Notamacropus eugenii: one gene and its partners. The protein of the gene in region 2 interacts with the protein of the main gene of each other region in a pairwise test. Links are inferred from orthologs where the notes say so. Each region holds a gene or a part of one and is shown on either strand. Other genes may lie near its edges. The genes, in order: CCER1, phospholipid scramblase 2-like and EWSR1.

Region 1 (3,744 bases), on a different chromosome or scaffold from region 2:
ATATATGTATTACATATAGTACATATAACATGTTATAACAAATTATAATCATAATATAAGATATATAATATATATTTAAATTACATACATATTATATTATAATTACAATAATATGGTATACAACTATAATAATATAATAGATGTATAAAATACTTTAGTTAAAACAAAAGTGTCCTATAAAGCAATTACCACCACACTCCCGGTTTGGGGCCTCCCTCCCTCCTTGTCCCTACTGTTCCTTGCACACAAACACCACTAATGCTTTTAATCACCTTACAATTTTATCAAGGAGGGGTGCGCATAGATAATATTTATTCATGGAACTCACTTTTATATTAGATTTTTTAGATGCTAATTTCATTTTAACCCAACAGTCAGTTCCATCCCGTTGCTCCTGCCCTCTCAGTCTAACACAGCACCTTCTTCACAATCATGGGGAATCTCTCTTGAAGCTTCTGGAAGATTCTCCCCTCCCGGGTCAGAAACTCATAGTTCAGAAGGTGCTCCGGCTCCTCTGCTCCCGGGGCTCCAGGGCCGGCGGGAGGGCTGGGCGGGGGGTTCTGATCCTCCTCCTCGGAGTCCTCCTCCTCCTCTTCCTCTTCTTCCTCTCTCAGCTCTTCCTCCTCTGATTCATCCTCTTCCTCTCCGTACTGCTCCTCCTCCTCCTCCTCATTCTCCTCCTCCTCTTCTTCCTCCTCCTCCTCCTCCTCTTCTTCTTCTTTCTCTTCCTCTTCCTCCTCTTCTTCTTCCTCCTCCTCCTCCTCGTCCTTCTCCTCCTCCTCTTCGTCGTCTTCCCCATCCTCCTCCTCTATTCCCTCCCTCTGCAGAGGAAGGCAGAGCGCGTGCCTCCGGTGCTGGTCCTCCTGGCCATCATCCTCCTGGTCCTCCTGGTCCTCGTCCTCCTGGTCCTCGTCCTCGTCCTCCTGGTCCTCGTCCTCCTCGTCCTCCTGGTCCTCGTCCTCCTCGTCCTCCTGGTCTTCCCGGTCCTCGTCCTCGTCCTGCTCCCCGGCGGTCGCGGGGCCGGGCACGAGGCAGCAGAGCCGCTTCTGCACAAAGCTGTAGAAGGTCTCCTGCAGCAGCCTCATCTCCTCGTCCTCTTCGGCCCTGCTGTGAACGGGCTGGAGCGCTGCACTGCACTCTGGAGGGACCGATGCTGCGTCTGCTGCTGCTGCCGCCGCTGAGGCTGCGGCTGCGGCCTGCCTGGCCCGCAGGGCCTCCTGCTGGCGCTCCTGCTTCTCCTGCTTGCGCATGTCCTCGTAGACCTGGTTCATGATGAACTGCGTGGTGTTGCGCGGGGCTCGCATGCCGGGCGCCCGGCGGCCGTACAGGTTGACCGGGCGCAGCAGGGCGCTCAGGTCCACGGGCGGGCCGCTGTGCAGTGGGCGCCGGGGATGGCCACGCCGCACGCCCCTGCCCTTCCTTCCCCAGCGCTTCTTCTTCTTCTTGGGGTAGATGCGCCCCGGGCCGGGCTGGTCGGGCGCGTTCCAGCAGGAGCAGCAGCATGGACAGGGAGGCCTCAGTCCGTACACCCGCACCACCTGCACACCGCTCGGCGGCCTCCAAACTTCCACTGGTGGGCAGCGCCACGGAGAGGGGGTCCAGCAGCCCCTGGGGCCCCAGCAGCTGGGGCTGGCCAGGCGCTCTGGGCGCCGCTGCGCATGGGGCCACCGTGGGCCCGACTCATGCTGGTGCTTCGCCTGCTTTCGCAGCTCCTGGTACTCCAGCTTGGGGCCAGAGCGGTGGCGCCTTCGGAACATCGAGGTGCTCCTCCGCCGGCGGTGGCACGGGGACCAAGGAGGGAGAGGAGACGGAGAGGACCAGCCGCCGCCCAGGTTCAGCGGGTCTGCCCGTCGGTCAAGGGCCAGGGCCATGCCTTCTTCCCACAGCTGTCTCGTTGAGGGCTGTAGATGATGCTGGTGGACCCCAACCCTGCGAGAGCGGGGCCACAGGGCGAAGAGGGGTTGACCCCCGAAGATCTTGGGTGGCACCTGCACCTTGCACCTGGAGACGCCGCTTTCGCCCCACGTGGGCCTGCCCTCTGCGATCTGGTCTTCTCTCCAAAAGGCCCTTTTGCCTTGCGCTCGTCCTTCTAGCCTTCTTTCTCCCTGACTTCTTTATTTTCCCTCCTCTTTGCCTTCGCACCTGAGAAGTTACCTCTCCCAGGCTAGATGATGGATGGATGGATGAATGGGTGTATAGATGGATGGATGGAAGGGTGGGTGTATGGATGAATGAATGGATGGGTGGGTGGGGCAAGGGGGGCTGAGTAAGGATGGTCGGGGGGAGGGGAGTTTATTGGTGAGCTACGCGCTGTGAGCCCCGCTTCCCGTTCCCTCACAAACCCGTCTCCGCAGTAATGCGGGGGTGGGGGTTGGGGGTGGGCCGGGGGAGCGCGTTACCTTGCTGCACCCTCTCTCAGCTCAGGTGCCAGTGTGGTCGCCGGTCCAGGCCGGACTGAGGGGGGCGCGGGGCCGGAGCTGCTTCAAATACCGGCCGGGGGCCCCGCGTGCCCACAGCGTCCCTGGTTACTCCTGGCAACAGCCAATCAGAGGGCTGGATTGTGCTCCCAGTGTGTGAAGCCGAGGTTCGGCCGCAGAACTAGGGGTTGTATGAGTATTCTCTAGGGGCTTGTGACGCAGCTGGGGGCAAGGGGGTCTAAGGAGAGGGGCAGGTAATGAGGGCTGGGTTGGCTACTCAGAAGGAGCTCAAATTCCAGAGTTCCTTAGACTAGGTTTTTGGGGGCTCTGGAAAGGGGGGAAGGACAGGATTGGCCCTCAGGAGTTTAAAGAGCTCTGGAGATGGTCAGATTTAGAACCTCGAGTAAACTTAAAAAATCTTAGAAATGGAAGGAAGCTTAGGAGATCATCTGGTACCTACACCAACACCCCTTTCATTTTACAGATTCAGAAACTGAGGCCCAGTGAGGAGGAAGTGACTTGCCCAGGGTCACACAGCTAGTAAGAAGCAGAGCTGAAATTCATAGGAAGTTTGTCTAATACTAAATTCAATATTCTTCCCAATATGCCAGGTCACTTCCTTCATTTAATCAACCCCATCTATCAATTTTAGGAAACCAACTCAGAGAGACTGAGTGGTATCAATTGACAAAACATGTATTTCAACTTACTTTGGTCAAGGTACCTTCCGAGACCTTATGTACCACCACAAGCTGAGTGGGTTTTTGTTTTTGTTTAGTTTAGTTTAGTTTAATTTAGTTTAGTTTAGTTTAGTTTTAGTTTTGGTTTTCGCTTTGTTTTGTTTTTTCAGGCAGTCTAGCCACATGAATCAAAATGACCACTGCCTATCCTTTTACTGTGCTTGATAAATGCTTCTTTCACTCATTCATTGAGTCACTGTGAGTTAATTAAAGAAACTGAACTCACAAAGCCATTTCACTCATCCATTTAGATATTAGGATTCAAATCTGCAGCCTCTTTTTGCCCTATGGTAGCAAAAGTCAATTAAACCTTACTCTGCCAATTCGGAGCTGTGGCTTGCAATCCCAAAAGGTTGATGTATTTCTCAGAATCACTTATTTGCAGGGATAAGAGGAACGTTGCAAGAACAGAACATGACCTGCTGAGAACGCTGGTTTCTACAAGCCTTCATTAAATCAAGAAAGAGCATAGTGAGTAGGAAATGTGCAGTCTGCTGAGATCACTCTTTTAAGTCTTGGTTGAAAATTGAGACTAGTATGGGGTCCCTGAGTTTTAACAGTTTGCACTGACATGAAGACTTAAGCCA
Region 2 (3,744 bases):
AGAGGACATGAGTTCAAATCCAACATTTGACATTTAAGACCTGTGTTAGCTTGGGCTAGTTACTTAGTTTCCCTTGTCCTCAGTCCCTTCATTTGTAAAATAAGGTGGTTGGATAAGACACTGACCTCTTCCAGAGCTGAAATGATGATTTTATAATCCTGAAATAAATTGTTGATGGAAAGAGACATGATCTGGGCTCTGTGAGTTCATTTTGGTTTCCAATGTGTCCTGAAATATTTTTATTTTGGTTTTGGTTGGTGCTTTATGCAAAGCAATTCTCTTCCACATCTGGAAACTGATTAAATATGGAAGTTCAGTGTATTAACCAATTTAAGTTTATTTTTATAAATGTATTAACCAATGAAGTATATTAACCAGTTATGTAAACTTATTAGCCAATGAAGAGAATAAATAATTTTCCTTTTTTCCTCTCTTCTAATCCTTAGTGGATATTTACTTTTTTTCCTTCTCAATAATCCTGAGAAAACCTAAATACTATTAGAGGGAACTTCTGCTATTAAGAAAACAAATTACCTGTGGATGCTTTTACTGACTGCTTCTGTCTGAGCAAGGCTCATTGAATGAATCATTGTTCTCTAAACAGCCCTGACAGAAACAAAACAAAATTCCCAAGACTACAGGAAAGGCTGTTCTTGGAAAAGGAGGATGAGTATACCAAGATTTCCAGGAATCATTAAAAAATAAATGAAAACATACGGACAATTGGACTATATTAACTCTGTACCAGCAGGGATTGTATACTATGCCATTTGAGAGAGTATTCCATACCATTCCACATTTCCCTAATAGCACATAAGAAGTTTTCAGTAAATAATTTTAGTTTTCCTTCCTTCTTTCTTTCCTTTTTTCCTCTTTCTTTCTTTCTTACTCTTTTTCTTTCCTTCCTTTTTGCCCCTTTCTTCTTAGTTCCTTCCTGACTTCCTTGGATGAGAAAATGGAATTGTTTGTTGTACGTCCAGATGACTTTTCCTTGGTCCTTATTCCAGGACTCTTAACTGGACAAAGTAGCACAAATTCAAGGGGAAGAGGCATCACACTTCTTCCATTCAGAATTAGTAGAGCAGTAAAGCCAATCCTTGTTCAGTCTCCTGGGTGAACTCCAGTTCTGAAATTCTCTACCTCTTTACCTCCATCTCCTAGTTTTCCACTAACTTCACTCAGCTAAAATCCCCCATTCTGAAGGAGTCCTTCCTGGTTCCTCCCCAGAGTTCTAGTGCCTTCCTCTCTAAGTTCCCCTTTGGCCTTTATTATATCTTCTGTATCTATTTGCATGGTGTTCTCTCTAGTACTTTATGAGATCCTTAGGACAGAAACTGTTTTTGTCTTTCTTTGCTTTGCTGTTAGCATAGAACCTTGATATAGTGACTGTTTTAATAAACTGTTGACTGACTGGAAGTTGGAGTGGCAGATTTTAGCTGTAGGTTAAGGAGAAAAAAGGTGGTATAGTGAAAGGAGTTTAGGGCCTGGAGTCAGGAAGACTCATCTTCCTGAGCTCAGATGGCCCTCAGACACTTACAAGCTGAGTGACCTTGGGCAAGTCACTAAACTCTGTATGCCTCCCTTTCCTCATCTGTAAAATGAGCTGGAGAAAGAAATGGCAGGCCACCCTAGTATCTTTGACAAGAAAAGTCTAAATGGGGTCATGAAGAGCTGGACATCGCTGCATAAGGACCAAGCTACAGCGACAAAAGAAAATACTGCACAACTTTCTCAGATGAGAGCTTGCAGTTGGCTGTCTCTGGGGGTTGGGAGGCCGTAAGCCCTCTGTCCTCTTTTTAATTAACCTCTGCATGCTCCAGGCTTCGGGAAGCATTTGTTAGGTATGCATGGAGGAGTTTATTTTTCCTGTGCGAGTTGGTTTACATATACTATGCTTTTCTTTCCTGCTCAGATATTTGATTAGGGATTGCACAATTTTGGAAAGACCAGCTCAGCTACTCCAGTAAGCAGCCAGCCAGCCAGCCGTTCATCCAGGCTTTTTGCTACAGGAGACTCACTATTTCTTTTTAACTTTCGGTCTCTTTTTTCTTGTTTCTGTTCCTTATTTTTCCAAGCACAATCGTTCTCATACTACTCTGGCATTCTTGCCTCCAAAGATAACCAGAACTCAAGACCGGCAACCTTCAGGTCACGTCCCACACCTACCACTTCCTACCCTCCTCTTGTCCCGCACTCCCTAAATCCATCCCCTCCCCCTGCACTCCAGACGTCCAGAGGGACAACTTCCCCTTCCCACCCTCAACCGAGCCCAGGAATCCCACAAGGATCTCTAATAAAGCCGAGCAGCAGACACACTCCACCCCCTCCCCTTGCTTCCCCTCTCCCTGAATTGAGGGGCTTCCGGCTCACTCCACTTCGAATCCGACCTGTAGACTCTCTCTCCCCCAACTGTCTCCCCTCTCTGTCTCCCCTCTCTGTCTCCCGTCTCTTTCTCTCTCTGTCTCTCTCTGTCTCTGTCTCTCTGTCTCTGTCTGTCTCTCTGTCTCTCTCTGTCTCTGTCTCTGTCTCTCTGTCTGTCTCTGTCTCTGTCTCTGTCTCTGTCTCTCTCTCTCTCTCTGTCTCTGTCTCTCTCTCTCTCTCATTCTCTCTCTCTCTCTCTCTCTCTCTCTCTCTCTCTCTCTCTCTCTCTCTCTCTCTCTCTCTCTCTCTCTCTCCTCCCTCCCTCCCTCCCTCCCTTCCTCCCTCTCTCCCTCTCTTTCTCTCTAAAACACTAACAGAAAACGAATGACAGCTAAAGACGTATTTCCCACTGAGTTCTCTTGTGTGGACCCAGATGCGGTGTTTCCACCCTCATACACTTACCTACCTGAATCTAATCTTCTGGCTTCACTCTTGAACTGTGATTAAATGTCCTCCACCGGCGGAAACAGAAAAAAAGAAAAGAAAAACGAACCAGGGAACTAGAAGCTGCTAACCAGCAGTCTCCGCCCTTGCAATACAATTGAACCACTAGGGAGACGTCCTTTTGAAAACATACTTTCATAAACCGTATCCCTTCCCTTTTGAGTGAGGCTGGTGACTGCACAGCCTTGCCTTACTCACCTTCCTGACGTCATTGGTCCTCTTCAAGAACGAGAGATGAACGACAGTTCCCTCTACTTTTCATTTCTTCCTTCTGTTTTTATGTTACATAAAATAATGTAGTTACCTCTATTCCTTTCCAAAGTCTAAGATAAAATTCAATGTTGAGACATCAATTGATGGTCATCGTGAAAAGAGGCACTCATGTATACGCTGCTTTCCTAACGGTACTGGAAACACCTTCTAATGGAGAGAAGAGGGAAGCTTGAATTTTTGCCTGTGAATTGGAGCGATTCATATCAATAGGAGGGAATGACACACGTGGGCAGGTTTTCTATAGACCTGGAATACTATTGAAGGAAACTGAGTTGGAGCTCTGATTCAAAGGAAGATAAACCATCATAGGAGGAAGGAGATGGAAAGGACCTAAAAGGGTCCACTCCTTCATTTTACAGATGAAGGAATTGAGCCTGAGAAGATGACTGCCTTGTCCAGATGCAGCTAGGTGCCTGAGGCTGGATTTCCTGACTCCAAGTCAGGAAGCATGGTGCTTCTTACATTTTGGCCAGGAGTTCATTCCCAGTACTCAAGCCTGCTTGGGCAAAGGCTTGAAGATAAGAAATAAAGGGACATTTGAAATGGATGTGTGATGGGATTAGTGAGAAGAGTGAAATCAGGATTAGTTAGAAAACCTTGAAGCTT
Region 3 (3,744 bases), on a different chromosome or scaffold from region 2:
GAGGGGTAAAGGTCTATGAGTGAAGAAGGATGGAAATAGCATCGAGTTCTTTTCGTGCAGTGATTGGCTTTGCCTTTTTTTCTCTTCCTCTTCAAAAAATCTATATATACTTTTTTGGTTACAAGGCATGTCTCTCAGGTTGAGGACAAAAGATATGGGGGGAAATGTAGGTGATAGCAAAACCAAAAGGTATCGCTAAAAGCAATTTTTAAAATGTGGAGACGGCTTACATCTCTCAAAAGACAATGAATAAATAGAATTTGTTACAAGGGTTTTCTTTTTCAACAGGGCAGGAGACAGAGACAAGGCGAATTTTTGTTCATTGAAAAAAATCAAATTTTACTTAAATTTAAAAATTGAGTGCTGGCAGGAACCCCAGAAGGCATCTAATCCAATTCTCCAGCCTGCATTTTACAGGTGAGAAAGGTCGGACAATTTGTCAAGGTCACACAAAGCATCCTAGATTTGACTTCACGTCGGACACTTTCCACTGTACCGCGTGGATCAGAATAGTATGTGTCCAAGAGGATCCTATGGACTGGCTGCGAGTTCTTCTCCGGACCTCAGCTCCCTCTACTGTAAAGTGAAGGGGCTGGACTAAAAGAGGTCCGGCGACCGGCTGAAACTTTGAACCCAGATCAGGCAGAGGATCCATGCATTTGGAGATAGGCTTGGGGTGGGGTCTGAGTTCAAATACTGACGGTCTGGACAAGCCAGTCCCCTTATGGGTTTCCTCTTTTGTCCGGGTCGGGCCCCCTGGGCGGACTCGGGCCAGTCCCTTGTCCCCTCTGGGCCTCAGTTTCCTCATCTGTAAAGTGGGGCATGGAGGGGCTGGGCCCTCCCAAGGTCAGCTCTCCGGGAGGGGGAGTCGATGCCCCTTGGAGGGGCAGGAGGCTGGGGGGTCAAACCCAGACTTCCAGAGCCAAGGGTACAAAGACCCCCGGCCATTTCAAGACTCGGAAACTGATACGCCAAGTGCCATCGAAGCCCGGGCCAGCCACGTGGCTCTCCCTCTGGCGGAGCGGGTCCCAACCTGGCCCCCCCTCCAGACTCCCCCCTCCACGATTAGTCAGCAGTTGTGCCACGGCCCCAGGATCCCTTCCCCCAACGCTCCGGCTCGTCTTCGTTTTTCCTCGGGGAGGACTATTGTGGGACGGTCCCTAACAAACCCAGGACGGAACCATTCTTCCAATCTATGCCCCGTTGGGGAGTAGGATCGGTGACCGCCCCGCCCCCAGGGCTCGTTCGTAGGGGCGGTTCGTGGCGCTTCAGGAGATACTTAGACGCCCCCAGCCTCCCGACCCCACCCCCTCCCGACTGAGGCGAGAGTTGGGTCGGAAAGCCCTCCCCTCGCCTCTCTCCGTCTCCTTCGCCTCTTCCCCTCCCCCCCCGCGGACCAATCCTAGTGGTAGAGCCCGAGGTTGTGCGGTCCGCGCCTGCGCAGTGCGGCGCCGAGAGGGCAAGCGACCGAGGGAGAGAGAGACGGACGTTGAGAGAACGAGGAGGAGGAAGGAGAGAAAATGGCGTCCACGGGTGAGTATGGCGCCGGGGCCCCAGGGCACGCCGTGCCGGCAGCCGAGGGAGCTGAGGCCTTCGGGGTTGGGGGCGCCACCGCGGGGGTCTTCTCGGGGCCTGGGGGGCGGCGGGTGGAGGCGGCGCTGCGCGGCCGGGCCGCGGGGCGGGCTTGGGGCCTACCTTCGCCCTTCTTCCCTTCCCCCTCCCCCTCCCCGCCGCGGGCGGGTGGGATTCTGGAACCTTCCGCCGCCCCCCTCCCCCTTCCCGGCGCGCGGGCGGGTGGGCGGGGAGCGGGCCGGGTGGGGGCCTCGGCTCGTTCGCGGCGGGGGCGGGGGGCGCGCGGCGACGGCGGGGGCGCGCGGCGGGAGGGAGGGGGGCGGCCGTGCGCGCGCGCTCCCGCTCCCGCCGCTTCGCGCCCGGGTTCGCGTTGGCCCGGCCGGGCCGCCGTCGTCCGCCCGCCGCCGCTTCCATTGTGTCCCCGGGAGAGGCCTCCCCGCGGCCCGCGCGCACTTCCCGCCACGTGGGCCGGCCCCTGCCGGGACCCGCAGCCGCCACGCCCTGCGAGTGGCCGCTCCTCGAGGGCAGGCGCCGTTTGCTCCGCTGATGCCCCGGAGCCGCCCTGATGCCGGTGGGAGGGCGCCTCCGGGCGGGGAGCTGCCTCCGAAGGGGTTCCCCGGGGGCGGGACGGGGCTGGGGGCGTTAGCGGAGGACCTGTCACCTGCCGCCCCGCGGCGGCCGGAACCTGCCCGTTACAGCGGAGGAAACTGAGGCAGGCCGAGGCGGCGAGACCTCCCCCTCCGGTCTGGGCCGCTATGGCCGGTAAGCCAAGCCCAGCCCCTGCCCTCGAGGAACGCCCTGGGGGGGCGGCCGCCGCGGGACCCCCTGAGCCCGGGAAGGGAGGGCTTAGAGCGGCTTGGCCCCTCCAGCCACGAGTCCGCGAGGCCTTTGTCTGCCCTGCTCTCGGCTGCTCTCCTGGGATCCGTGGTCTGGACGGGAGGGGGCCCGAGGGGCCGCTTCGGGCCTTTTAATCCTGGGCTGGCGGACGCTCTCAGAAGTAAGCTGGAAGGGGAAGTGCTGAGCTCGCAGTTCTGGACGAGGGGAAGCGACTTGTTCGTTTGCCCAGATTTTGAAAGGGAGCTGGGATCGTGCTGCCTTTGGGAGAGACTGTGACTTTAGAACCCCTGGAGTGCCTTCGTGGGCCTTCAGGCGGTTCTGAGAGACGGAGTCCGCTGGCCCTACCGTCTCTGGGCGTTAGAGTGAAACAACGGTAAAATCTTGTTGGACTGGAGTTGGAAGGGATCTGCTCTGAAATGTAAACTGTCTCCACAGTTTTCTGTTATTAGAAGAACTTTGCGTTATCTTTTCCGCTAATTTGTTTTTTTGAAATTAGCAAATTCGTAGATAGGTAGAGGTACCCAGAGCCATGTATCTAGGTAGCTCAACTTAATGGTGTTTCCGTGGATTATTCGGAATCTCTGACCTAAAAAGAACAAAAGGCAGGACTTATCTTGAATTATGGCTAAGTAATATTTGTACTTTTTGGCTTCCAGGATTGTTGGAAAACCTGGGTTGATTAAGTGTATGACGAGAGAATCTTTTAGCTAGCTTTTGGGCTTAAGGAAAGTTGTTGACTTATTAAGCTCTATGCATTAGTTTAAGATGTAATTGCTGTGAAGGATTTCATGCATTTAGGAATAAGCCAATTCAAATGTAATTAGCTGTTCCCTCCAACTTTCCATGAATTTGTTTTATTTCCTGGGGGTATTTGGAGCCTCTTAAACTTAATGGTTGTGGGAGGGAACTGAGAGGACGTTACCCTACTTAGGTCTCTGCCCCCTATTAGATACTGCCCTGAGGCACTCTGGCTTCTGGCTTCTATCCCTCCGTTGAACAATAAAACCTGGGTCTTTAGATACAGACCTAAGTAAGATGGGAGTGACCCTAGAAAGAAACCTTTGTGTGAAATGCACAAAGAATGGGAAAGTGTTTTTCTTTGCACTCTACCTACATTTCTCCTTCATGCCTTTCGAAGAGGAATTGCTCCTGCCAAAACCTAGAGAAAGGGGGGAAGTAGATTTTGAAAGCTTCTCCTTCTCTCCTGCAGCATGTAGTATTTGATTTTGATAGCTAATCTAAAGATATACTTGTCCTTGATTGAATTCATTCGGTATAGGAGCATTGGGTGGGTAACTAAGTCCCTAAAAGTGGCTTGGTCAATACTTGTTGACT

Evidence for each region.
Region 1: the proteins of phospholipid scramblase 2-like (region 2) and CCER1 interact in a two-hybrid assay, tested with the Homo sapiens proteins (2 studies listed by BioGRID and IntAct). The two-hybrid records come from large-scale screens. The link is inferred for Notamacropus eugenii from reciprocal best matches to the Homo sapiens genes PLSCR1 and CCER1.
Region 3: the proteins of phospholipid scramblase 2-like (region 2) and EWSR1 interact in binary tests that used the Homo sapiens proteins (3 or more experiments, as listed by UniProt). The two-hybrid records come from large-scale screens. The link is inferred for Notamacropus eugenii from reciprocal best matches to the Homo sapiens genes PLSCR1 and EWSR1.

What each region holds. Positions count from the first base shown.
Region 1 is NC_092874.1:273,284,159-273,287,902, forward strand, and holds CCER1 (coiled-coil domain-containing glutamate-rich protein 1), read right to left. Parts: upstream 2,484-3,744; 5' UTR 1,872-2,483; coding exon 408-1,871; 3' UTR 300-407; downstream 1-299. UniProt on the Homo sapiens protein: Regulator of histone epigenetic modifications and chromatin compaction into the sperm head, required for histone-to-protamine (HTP) transition.
Region 2 is NC_092877.1:335,160,533-335,164,276, forward strand, and holds the start of phospholipid scramblase 2-like, read right to left. Parts: upstream 2,910-3,744; 5' UTR 2,828-2,909; exon of another isoform or gene 2,824-2,827; intron 296-2,823; 5' UTR 189-295; coding exon 126-188; intron 1-125. UniProt on the Homo sapiens protein: Catalyzes calcium-induced ATP-independent rapid bidirectional and non-specific movement of phospholipids (lipid scrambling or lipid flip-flop) between the inner and outer leaflet of the plasma membrane resulting in collapse of the phospholipid asymmetry which leads to phosphatidylserine externalization on the cell surface.
Region 3 is NC_092875.1:16,382,338-16,386,081, reverse strand, and holds the start of EWSR1 (RNA-binding protein EWS), read left to right. Parts: upstream 1-1,436; 5' UTR 1,437-1,520; coding exon 1,521-1,533; intron 1,534-1,930; exon of another isoform or gene 1,931-2,327; coding exon of another isoform or gene 2,328-2,334; intron 2,335-3,744. UniProt on the Homo sapiens protein: Binds to ssRNA containing the consensus sequence 5'-AGGUAA-3'. Might normally function as a transcriptional repressor. EWS-fusion-proteins (EFPS) may play a role in the tumorigenic process.